Linked DNA regions of Callithrix jacchus. The protein of the gene in region 2 purifies or fractionates together with the protein of the main gene of each other region. This does not show direct contact. Links are inferred from orthologs where the notes say so. Each region holds a gene or a part of one and is shown on either strand. Other genes may lie near its edges.

Region 1 (3,643 bases), on a different chromosome or scaffold from region 2:
TATAATATATATAAACACGCACACACTGAAAATAATTAAAAAAAGGAAAAAAGGTCTTGGATGTGAGACCAGGCTCCTCCTGGTTTGTTACCTCCATAGCACAAGGAATAAGAGGGCTCAATTCTAAGCTCCCCATTTTGCGGGGAAGCGTCTGTGGGGTCCCTCTCTGAAGCTGAGGGAATGAATTCGTTTCACTCAAGGGGAAACCAGACTCTCAGAACCACTATCTCTTACTGCTTGGCAATGCGTCCTCACAAGTTGGGGAACTTCTCCCTCACGGTAGGTACCAAGAGGGACCTGGCTTCACTCACCATCCTCAGGGCAGGGCCCCAGTTCGTGGCTGTTCCTGGAGTCAGAAGCCAGGGGCTCCTTAGCGGGAGGTGAGAGGGAGCCGTCTGTCCATCGAGCTGCTTCTGTGTGGAAACTGCCCACGGGCGTGGTGCCACCAGACGACTCTCCCCCAAGGGACTTGAGCAGCTCTCTGTGGGCCAGCTCCATGTCCTGGAAGAGTCGGTGGGGGAATGTCTGCTCAAGTCCTTCTATTCCTAAGGTCACACTCTGATCTGTGCTGGGCCTTGGGGAAGGGGGTGTGATTTAAGAGTGGCTGAGTGAGCTGGGGAATATCTCCGGGCCAGGACAGGATCTAGGGCTCATGGGGAATGGTTTTGGGGTGACGGACTGAAGTCTTGCAGGGACAAGCTCTGTTTCCCTCACCTTGAGTCTGTTGAGCTTGAGGGTGAGCTGCTCAATGGTACGGAAGATCATGCCCACGTCCCTGAGGGCCAGGCTTGGGGGAGAGCGGCTGAGGCATCTTGGATCTCCATTGCCTCCCTGCAGCTGAGGCTGAGGTTCTATCTGCCCTGCAGGGAAGCTGTCAGGCTGAGGGGGGCTCGTGGGTGCCCCTGAAAGGTCAGTGCTTGAGTCCAGGGGTCCTGCTGGCATGCTGACATAAAAGCAGTTCCCTGTCCCCACAAGAAGAGAAAAGCGATCAGGAGGCAAACAGAGAAGTTGGAGCTATCCTCCCACTCCCGTGGGGTTCCCCAGCCGCCTGACAGCGCAGGCCAGGCAGCCCTCTCCAGGCGAACCCCGAGCACGTGGCCCTTGCTCACTGTCTGCCAGCCCCCTAAAAGCCCTGCTCCCCAGCCTTTCTAGATGGCACTTTGCTCAGTCTGGCCCCAACCTGGGGGGATGCTGAGCAGTGAACTCAAGGGAGAAGTGTCAGGCTGCAGTGTTTCATCTGGGGAAACGGGAGTGGCTCCCCCTCCTTGAGTGAACAGATCAGGGGCTGGTTTCAGGCTCTTCTGAAAGGAGCAGGCGGCGGCTCTCTCGCCCTGCCTTACTCCAGCTCTGGATGAACTGCAGCCCTGCCCTGCTCCTCTGCCATCCATGCCACGAGCCTCTGGAGGTCCCTCGACCCAACCAAGGGGCACCAGAGACAGTTGGAGGAAAGACGTGGAGGGTTCCTGACAGGCGGGAAGCTCAGAGGACCACTGCGGAACTGGGGAGGCCCTTTCAGCCGCTTTCCACAGTGACACTCAAGTGGCGTCTGGGGTGGGCAAGCAGCTGCTCGAGTATCAGGTGAAGGACACTGGGCTCCCGGCACCAGGCCAGGCTTCCCTGCCCCTCTCACAACTGCACACAGGTGTTTATCCCTGCTGCTCTGAACAGGAGCCTGGACAGGTGGCTTCTTAAAGCTGGACGGACAGCACAGGGCCCCTCCGCATCCTTAGGTCCACATCTTCCTCCTCCCCTTTCCAGGCAGCTGAGGGAGCTGGTGGGTGTGTGTGTGACTGCGGGCAGGGGTCTGGCTCTGCCCTCAGGTCCCACATGCCAGTCCTGGCCTGTCTTTGGCTCCGAGGAGAAAGTTATTACCAGTAGCCTTTGTTCCGCTTTCCACTTCAGGTGGCTCAGGCTCTGACTGGCCACTCTCTGGTAGTGCAGGGACAACCTTGCTGCCTGCCACCTCAGCTGCACCGACACCACCACCACCAGGAAGAGGAGAGACCAAAAGACAAGGAAAGGGAAGGGAGAGACAGCAGGAAGGAGAGAGGGCGGGAGGTGGGGGCAGGGGGAGGAGAAAACGGGAAGAACAAGGTGAACACAAGATCATACATGATGACATCCCAGGCAGCGCAGAGAACTTTCCACCAATTCACCGAGAGAGAAGGAAGGTTAGTTCCCAGAAACCCAGGAGAGAGGCAGGCCTCGGGCAGATGGAATAAAAACGCTACTGGAAGGGAGGCAGAGCGGAGCCCCAGGGGAGGGCGGGAAGCCCCTGCCGCAAGACCCCCTAGTGGAACCCTGCCCTGTGTGTGTCCCAGGCTTTGTTCTGCCTTTCTTGCCACCCTCTCAGACTAGCCCACTCTTCCCGGGGTGAGGATCTTCCTCCCTGGGCTCACTGCTCCGGCCAGGCAAACCTGTCTGCCTCCCTGCGAGCTTGTCTCGGCTTTTCTTATCTCAAGGCCGCCTGTGGTGCTCCCCAACCCGGGCTGCCTTCCTGTCACCCTGTTCACTCCCAGACCCCTCACTCGCCAGGTGTCTTCCCAGCCTTGTCCTCCACGCCCTCCAGTTCCAGCTGCCACCTCTGTTGCCCTCGGTGCTGTTGCCTGGCGTGAGGGGCTGCGTGCCCCTGCCCCGTCTGTCTAGGGCTGAGGCTCCTGGGAAGGGCGGCTCTTTTCCCTGGGACCAGGAGCTCAGTGAGGAGCACTAACAGAGACAGGTTCTGGTAGTTGGTTTGTGCCAGGCAGAAAGAAATGCCCTTATGTGTTACAAAATGAAGTTGAGAGATGATTCACAATTTTCTCTAAAGCCGCGCAGATATTAAGCGGCAGAGCTAAGCTCTGAATCTCCACCGTCCAGCTCCAAAGCCTGCCTGATAGTGGCACGTCGCCTTCTTCCAGGACCCAGCGTAGGTCTCTGCTCACACGACACCCAGGGGCAGCATAGGGAAGGACGCAGCTGTTCCGAAGACTTATCTCACCTAGCAAGGGTGCTTTTCCCTGCACTGGACATGCCCGTTTATTTTACCTTTTCTCACAACTTTGTAACCTCCTGCTGCCTCTGTGCTTGAAGCCTCTTCAGCCGGATTCCTATCCAGTTCTGGAGACTCCCATATCCCAGAATTTCTGGTCCTTGGGGGTAGATCTTCCAGAGAACAGAGAGCCATGTTCTCCTGTTCTGGCCGTTCCCCCTCCGGCCCTGGAATCTGGGTGTTGTCCCCTTCACCCCCAGGGAGGGCTTGCCCTGGGGAGCCTGGGTCCCAGGGGTGAGAGGTGACGCCGATGACTGAAGGCGTGGGTGTCACGTCATCCTCGGGCTCCCGGGCAGCCTGAGTTTCCATGGTGTGACCTGGCAGCAGGCTCCACAGGATCAGGCGTCGCAGGTTCTCCACTGGAGGGAAACAGGGTGGTGTCTTCCCAGCACCGGACTGCGCGCCACGCCAGAGGGATCGCTGTGTTGCCCCACTGACCCCATGCAAGGTGGTGACCTCAGGCACAGGCAGAGCTGGGGGGCTCTGGCCAACTAGCTGGTGGGGGTTGGCTGGGCAATGACATTTGTCTCCGCATCCACCTCTCCCCAAGCACACCAGGGAGAGTCTTTGGGAAGGTGGAGGGTGCAGGCGCCTGTCAGTTTACATAGGCTG
Region 2 (4,239 bases):
GCTTTTATTCCAGTATTATTTCCTTAGACTTCTGAATCAATCCAGACATACCTTCTCCCAAAATGGAGACCAACATCAAAAACTTCTCAGAGCTTAAAAAAATAACAGCCACTCACTGTCTTAAAAGTAGAGCCTTGGAAAACAAATACTATTAGCACAATTGCTCTTTCTGAAGGACTTTCAACATGTTCCAATTTATAAAATAACTTCTGGGGTAGAAGGCAGTCAAAAAAGAACCAAACTCAAGAAGGAAAAGAACTTATGCTGCATAGACCGCTGTCCAAGCATGGAAGAAAATAGATACAACCAAGATTTCATGAACTTAAAAGATGTTCACTTATGAAACACTAAGAACCAAGTATTCTAGCTCTGTGTTCTGTTATCTCCTTCGGCACCCTAACCCAACGTTGAGTCTTCTAGGAACATTCAAAATTTAAAAACTTCTACCAGCCCATGCTTCAGTTCAGTTTAACTCACAGGACAGCCTTCAATTTCCCTAAAAGCAAGATCAACTGCAAAATAATATAAAATTGAACTCCAGCTCACAGAGGTTAGTTCAAGCTTGCTTTTTCTATCACTGATCTATTGTTTTTATTACCTTTGATCCATCTGAACAGTCACTTGGCTAGTAGGAAGTCATTTGTTTGAATAACTGAAAAACTGGTGTTTTTTAGTTTTTTGTTTTTTAATAGGGATGAGGTCTGGCTATGTTGCCCAGGCTGGTCTGGAACTCCTGGGCTCAAGCCATCCTCCCACTCTGGCCTCCGTGCTGGGACTGCAGGAGTGAACCACCACACCCAGCCTGAAAAAGCTGTTTTATTGTCAATTTTCATGTCAACTAAAAAACACTAGATTCCTGATAACTTACTTCATCTCATAATCAATGCTCAAAGTAGATCACACTTAACAACTCAGTGTACATTAAGAACGAGGTGTTTACCTGGCTCACAATCAGTTAACAAGTTGATGCTATTCATTAACATAATTCCTTAAGTTCAGCTGCATCAGGATACAAAGGTACCTTCGATTAAGGACTAAGGCAGAGTCTGCAGCCTTGAAAGAGACCTTAATTAGTTTTGTGCTAAACATTACAGCAGGGTAAATACAACTGTTCTTTATAGTTTAACTGCAGAGGTACTAGGTCTTCTAGGCTGTGGTCTGTGAGCTGCTGGCCTAGAGATTCTCTAGTCATTACTCCACAATGCCTGCCTCTTCAGGCAGTTTTCCTTTACCCAAACGCTGGGAGGGGAGGAGTGGGAGTGACATGAAAAAAACCTGCAATCTGTAGCAAGCTCCTGAACTGCTCCCTAGATAAAATAAAATCCAGATGCACGTGAAGTATCAGGCTCTGCACCTGAATTCTGCCAAAATGCCTTTTCTATAGAACATACATGACACACAGAAAAATGAGTATCTTTCAAATGACAAAATAAAAACCATCTTTTCGATTCTTTTGAATGCCCAGAAATAAACAACTTGTTTATTTTTCCACTTAAAAACAAAATTTAATTTTAAAACTACTGTCAATAAAGAGCAGGGCCAATTATCTAACTCAACACTCATTCATTGTCTTCATCTGTACAGGATCCACATGACTTTTAAGCCAGTCTTCTTACAACTACAACATTTCATCTAAATAGAAGTAGTGGCACTCCCTTCCCGCCAGCCCTCAGCTACTTGGCGAAAAGGAGAGTGGAGCGTGCTGCACAGCGATTATATGCAAACATCCTACCTGACAGTGACAGTGGGGCGAAAAAGGGCAGATGCTACTTTTTTAGACTAACCGTATGGGTCTACTCTCTCCTGATTCCAGTACAGTCAACCTGACACTCTCAAGTTTCATACCCTTGCCCAAAAGGAGGCTGCCACCCTACGCCCTTGACAAGAAGGCAAAAAGTTCCCTTACTGCGACGGTTCCAGAACTTGGAGGCGGTCAAGGAAGCAGGGAGTTGGGAGCGCATGCGACCCCATGTGACTCGGGTCACTCAGCCGGGATAGCGAGGTTCGGCCCACATCGCCCGAGCCGGGAATGGGGGTGCAGGGGCTGAGGCTGCTCTAGGGTCTTCCTGCCTCATCCGCAGCGGGGAGGACGAGAGAGGTCTCCCATACCCCGAGACACCCAGTTCGCCTCACTTCCCTCTCGCAGGGGGCGAGACCAGGGGCGCGGTGGGGGGTGAGGGAATGGCCGTGACGCCCACCGAGGAGACAAGGGGGAGAACAGGGCGCCCCCGAGCATCCTCTCGCCTGGGGGACGAGGGCACCCCGGGCGGGCAGGGCCAGTGCCCGGGGCGCGCCCCCTTCCCGCCAGCACGCCCGCCAAGCCCGGTCCTCCGCCAGCGACGGAGCGGACGAGGGCGGTGCCCGGCCCCGCGCCCGCCGCCGCCCCAGTCCCCCGGCCCCCACAGCCGGGGCCCCCGTTCCCGGCCCGGCACCTTTGATCACGTTGCTGTAGATGGTGGGGCGGAACTCCTCCCGCGCGCGCTGGTCGAAGTCCTGCCCGTGGATGATCCGCATCTGCTTTAGGAAGGTGGACTTGCCGCTCTCGCCCGCGCCCAGCAGCAGGATCTTCACCAGCCGCTTCACGTAGGTCTTCTCCCGGGACAGGCATTTGTCGATCTCCTTGGACTTGCGTTGCTGCTCGGCCTCACTGCTAGTCAGCAGGCAGCCGGGGAAGCACACGGACAGCACCGACCGCGACGGCAGGAAGTCCGCCATCTTGCCGCCGCCGCCGCCGCCTCGGCGGGCCCCTCCGGCTCCCTCCACCTCCTCCTCGGGCGGCGGGCGGCTCTGGCACCACGGCTCGAGGGCGGGGAGCGCAGCGGCGGCCCGAGCGCGCCCAGGGAGGGAGGGAACCAGCGAACTGACTCGCAGGGCGGGCCGGGCAGGGCGGGCCAGGAGAGCGGGGGAGGGAGGGAAGGAGGGCGGACCCGGCCCGGGAGGGGCGGTGGCCCCGGCGCGTGCGCGCTCCCGCCGCTTCCCGGGGCGCGCTCGCACGCCGCGGCAGCTCCCTCGCCTCCCGCCCTGGGCGGCGAGTCACGCGCTTGCTGTCTCGCTCCGGTGCCCGCACTCGCTGCCGCCGCCGGGAGCGCGCTGAGAGGGCTGGGGAGCCGCGGTCACGTGGGCGGGGCGGGGGAGTCTAACTTTCTGTTTCCCTTTCGTGGTCTGCGCCCACTTGTGGGCAGAACGGCTCCTTCCCCTGGGCTTGGAGGCCGGAGACCAGGTACCGGACGCGGCTCCTTGGGCTCCCACTTAGCCGCCCTTTCTCCCGCGTGCGCCTGCTGCCCACTGCCACCGCCCACCGGACCCTTTTCGAGGCCACGGACTCGAAAGTTATTTGAACAGAACAGCCGGCGTGAGCCTGGCATGCCTTCGGTGCATTTTCTTTATTTCATTTTTTAATTTATTTTTTATTTTTTTTGAGGTGAAGTCTCTCTGTCACCCTGGCTGGAGTGCAGTGGCGCTATCTTGGCTCATTCCACCTCCCAGGTTCGGCCTCCCGAGTAGCTGGGATCACAGGGATTACAAGAGTGTGCCATCATGCCCTGCTAATTTTTTGTATTTATTTTTAGATACGGGGTCTCCCCCTATGTTTCCCAGGGTGGTCTTGAACTCCAGAGCTGAAGTGATCCTCCAGTCTCACCTCCCACAGTGTAGGGATTCCAGACGGAGCCACTGCTCCCTGGCCTGGTGTGTTTTCATAAGGTGACTCCCTTGACCTTCTACTCTCCGAATCCCAGAACAGTAACCAGACATCATCCGCCCACACTTGCAGTTCTTTCTGGCATTTTCAGACCCTGCCAGCCCCGCCCCCCTTACCAGGGGAAAGAACTGGAGTTGATGTTCACCGGAGACGTGCTACTAGGGGCTCTTAATGGCTCAGTCATGTGCATTCCACCTGGGCTGTGATGTGGCTTCGGGGACGCTTGGCCAGGCTGGAATCAGTGAGTGGCAGCAGGAGGGTGAGGTCATGGTGAAAATCCCCTACACCGGACACTGTGATGCAGGCTATTCCCAACAAGGAAGCAGATACACAAACACCAGGAGGAATGGGAGCATGCAAATTTTAGGTTTCCTGCCAGATTACAGAGGATGTGACCCGTCAGGGGACTTTTTTTCTGTCTTAGCAGCGGATTCAGGCCAGGACACCTGAAAGGCCAGGAGACAAGCCACAAGTGACAGCTGTGGGTTGGCAGAGAAACTGCTTAACCCGCACCTTTCAAAGCCAACCTCTTCATTCTT
Region 3 (3,643 bases), on a different chromosome or scaffold from region 2:
CAGCCAGAGTGACCAAGGGTCTGTTTGCCAGCCTGGGCTTTCAGTGATAAAACTGGGAATGTCCCAAGCAAACGGGGACAAGTTGGTCATCCCACTTGCCAGCAAGCTTGCAGCTGTGTTTAATGTCTAACCATCAGGCCACATTACATAGTGATTGACAGATTCAGATCCAGGGATCCCCCCCCAACCCTGGAGGGCATATGTGTGAGTTTCAGGGGCCCCAGAAGTCCCCTGAGACTAAAGTGCAGGATTTTGTGTGTTATGGATATTCTTTCTGGAGAGACATGCTGTCCAACATGATAGCCACTAGCCACATGCAACTCTTTATATTTTCATTAATTAAAATGAAATGAAATTTTAAAAATTCAGTCTTCAGTTGTATTTAGTGTTTTTGTTGTTGTTGTTTTTTGAGATGGAGTCTTGCTCTGTCACCCATGCTGCAATGCAATGGCGTGATCTTGGCTCACTCCAACCTCTGCCTCCTGAGTTCAAGCGATTCTCCTGCCTCAGCCTCCCAAGTAGCTGAGACTATAGACATGCACCACCATGCCCTGCTAATTTTTATTATTTTTTTAGTAGAGACGGGGTTTTACCACATTGGCCAGGCTGGACTTGAACTCCTGACCTCAACTGATCCACCCTCCTCGGCCTCCCAAAGTGCTGGGATTACAGGCATGAGCCACCAAGCCTCGCCTTTTTTTTTGTTTTTCTGAGACAGAGTCTTGCTCTGTAGCCCAGACTGGAGTGCAGTGGCATGTTCTGGGCTCATTGCAACCTCCATGTCCTGCTTCCTGGGTTCAAGCAATTCTCCTGTCTCAGTCTCCCAAGTACCAGGAATTACAGGCATGCGCCACCACACTTGGCTAATTTTTGTATGTTTAGTAGAGACGGGGTTTCACCGTATTGTCCAGGCTGGTCTTGAACTCCTGACCTCAAGTGATCTGCCCACCTCAGCTTCCCAAAGTGCTGGGATTATAGGCATGAGCCACTGCCTCTGGCCTAGTGCATTTCAAGTGCTCACCAGCCCTAGGTGGCTGGTAGTCCCCAAGGTGAGCAGTACAAATAAAGCACATTTCCATTCCAGAAAGTCTTATTGGATAGGATATGGCTCGTGATTTTTTGTTTTTGTAAATTTCATGTCCTTAGAAGGATCTGTGACCCAAAAAGTACTCATCTACTCCCCTAAAATGTTTGAATAAGTACCTTTTTTACTATGAAGTAATCTGTAAATAAGCTTTCAATCAAGTCCAAAAGCTTTCTCTTTTTGCCACCAACCTCCCTAGCCACCACAGAATGAGAAAGCACAGAAAAAAAGAAAAAGACAAAAATGGCCAAGCACAGTGGCTCACGCCTGTAATCCCAGCACTTTGGGAGTCCAAGGCGGGTGGATCACGAGGGTCAGGAATTCAAGACCATCCTAGCCAACAGGGGGAAAACCTCATCTCTACTAAAGATACAAAAAATTAGTCTGGAGTGGTAGTGTATGCCTGTAATCCTAGCTACTCAGGAGGCTGAGGCAGGAGAATCACTCAAACCTGGGAGGTGGAGGTTGCAGTGAGCCGAGATCGCGCCATTGCACTCCAGCCTGGGTGACAGGGTGAGACTCTGTCTCAAAAAAAAAAAAAAAAAAAAAAGACAAAGACAAAAATGATACACTCATCATCTCTCCACCCAGAAGCAAGCACTGCTAATATACTGATCATTCCCCCAAACTTTCCCCTATGGGGATCTTTTCTTCCCTAAGCAATTAAGATCATACTAGTAACAACAATCTCATTAAAATGCTCTTCTTTAGGCCGGGCGCGGTGGCTCATGCCTATAATCCCAGCACTTTGGGAGGCGAGGTGGGTGGATCACGAGATCAAGAGATCGAGACCATCCTGGTCAACATGGTGAAACCCAGTCTCTACTAAAAATACAAAAAATTAGCTGGGCATGGTGGCGTGTGCCTGTAATCCCAGCCACTCAGGAGACTGAGGCAGGAGAATTGCCTGAACTCAGGAGGCGGAGGTTGCGGTGAGCCGAGATTGCGCCATTGCACTCCAGCCTGGGTAACAAGAGTGAAACTCCGTCTCAAAAAAAAAAAAATCAAATGCTCTTCTTTGACTGGGCCTGGTAGCTCACACCTGTAATCCCAGGACTTTGGGAGGCTGAGGTAGGAGATTCACTTGAGCCCAAGAGTTCAAGACCAGCCTGGCCAACATGGCGAAACCCCATCTCTGCAAAGAATACAAAAATTAGCCGGGCATGGTGGTGCAGGCCTGTGTTCTCAGCCACTCGGGAGGTGAGGTGGGAGGATCACTTGAGTCTGGGAGGGTAAGGCTATAGCGAGCCATGAGTATGCCACTGCACTCCAGCTTGAGAGACAGACAGATCCTGCCTCAAATAAAAAAATAAATAAATAAAAAATAAAATGCTCCTCCTCTGTGCTAAACACGTCACATAAATCATCGCATCTTCATGACAATATTTCAGGTAGGAACTATTAGTGCCCACATTTCACAAGTAAGGAAACAAAGGCTTGCACCAGACCATGTTGGCCAGGATGGTCCCGATCTCATGATCCACCCGCCTCGGCCTCCCAAAGTGCTGGGATTACAGGCGTGAGCCACCGTGCCTGGCAATGCAATGTTCTTAACGTCAGCACTGTCTCGCACTACCAGAAATTCTTTGGAGGCCGGGCGCGGTGGCTCACGCCTGTAATCCCAGCACTTTGGGAGGCCGAGGCAGGTGGATCATGAGGTCAAGAGATCGAGACCATCCTGGTCAACATGGTGAAACCCCGTCTCTACTAAAAATACAAAAAATTAGCTGGGCACGGTGGTGTGTGCCTGTAATCCCAGCTACTTAGGAGGCTGAGTCAGGAGAATTGCCTGAACCCAGGAGGCGGAGATTGCGGTGAGCCGAGATCGCACCATTGCACTCCAGCCTGGGTAACAAGAGCGAAACTCCGTCTCAAAAAAAAAAAAAAGAAATTATTTGGAAATGTCCATTCCACAGTGGCACTCACATTTCATTGAAATGCTCTCTGCTAGAACAATCTGAACTTGGAAGAAGAGGGAGTTTGAAGCTGTCTTCAAGCTCTCCCTATAGTAAACAAAACCAAGATGCACTTCTCTCTGCGCCTGTCTCTGCCTTTTCCAGAGCTGGACTATGTCCTTGGCCACAGTGAGGCGGATGGGATGGCACTCACCACTGATGACCTCCTGCCGCTTCACCTGGCTCTTGGGCAGCCTGTGCAGGGTGTCTGGGGGGATGAGTTCCCGCCAGCCAGGAGGCTCTTCTGGTTCAAGCTCCAGTCCTGACCGTCCTGGCTCCCCGTCATCTCCAGGCTCAGGGCTGTGGACAGAGGTCTTGCTAGGGCCCCAGCTTGGGCCATCTCAGGAAGCAGACTTCAACTTCTTAAGAGTGTTCAACCCCGGTCAGTGGCCTTGGCATTTGATGCCCCAAGGGTAGCCCGTGTGACAGACCAGATCTCTAGATCTGACCAGACTAGAGTCCCCAGATTTCTAAAAACATTCTACTCCCTCCTCCTCCAATGTCTGTGACCATAGTTGGCCTCAATGACCTCAGCCTCCAATGCCCATTCCTCAATGACTCTGACAACAGTCCCTCCCTGATTCTCCAGGCTGCCTTAGTGGAT

What was found.
Region 1: the proteins of GNA13 (region 2) and ARHGEF11 purify together in Homo sapiens (affinity purification with western blotting; 3 studies listed by BioGRID). This does not show direct contact. The link is inferred for Callithrix jacchus from reciprocal best matches to the Homo sapiens genes GNA13 and ARHGEF11.
Region 3: the proteins of GNA13 (region 2) and ARHGEF1 purify together in Homo sapiens (affinity purification with western blotting; 5 studies listed by BioGRID and IntAct, with this or other methods). This does not show direct contact. The link is inferred for Callithrix jacchus from reciprocal best matches to the Homo sapiens genes GNA13 and ARHGEF1.

The regions. Positions count from the first base shown.
Region 1 is NC_133519.1:17,334,141-17,337,783, forward strand, and holds part of ARHGEF11 (rho guanine nucleotide exchange factor 11), read right to left. Parts: intron 3,391-3,643; coding exon 3,028-3,390; intron 1,969-3,027; coding exon 1,873-1,968; intron 963-1,872; coding exon 715-962; intron 502-714; coding exon 312-501; intron 1-311. UniProt on the Homo sapiens protein: May play a role in the regulation of RhoA GTPase by guanine nucleotide-binding alpha-12 (GNA12) and alpha-13 (GNA13). Acts as guanine nucleotide exchange factor (GEF) for RhoA GTPase and may act as GTPase-activating protein (GAP) for GNA12 and GNA13.
Region 2 is NC_133506.1:124,266,814-124,271,052, reverse strand, and holds the start of GNA13 (guanine nucleotide-binding protein subunit alpha-13), read right to left. Parts: upstream 2,868-4,239; 5' UTR 2,716-2,867; coding exon 2,433-2,715; intron 2,132-2,432; exon of another isoform or gene 1,962-2,131; coding exon of another isoform or gene 1,907-1,961; intron 1,199-1,906; exon of another isoform or gene 984-1,198; coding exon of another isoform or gene 941-983; intron 1-940. UniProt on the Homo sapiens protein: Guanine nucleotide-binding proteins (G proteins) are involved as modulators or transducers in various transmembrane signaling systems.
Region 3 is NC_133523.1:36,929,092-36,932,734, reverse strand, and holds part of ARHGEF1 (rho guanine nucleotide exchange factor 1), read right to left. Parts: intron 3,340-3,643; coding exon 3,194-3,339; intron 1-3,193. UniProt on the Homo sapiens protein: Seems to play a role in the regulation of RhoA GTPase by guanine nucleotide-binding alpha-12 (GNA12) and alpha-13 (GNA13) subunits. Acts as a GTPase-activating protein (GAP) for GNA12 and GNA13, and as guanine nucleotide exchange factor (GEF) for RhoA GTPase.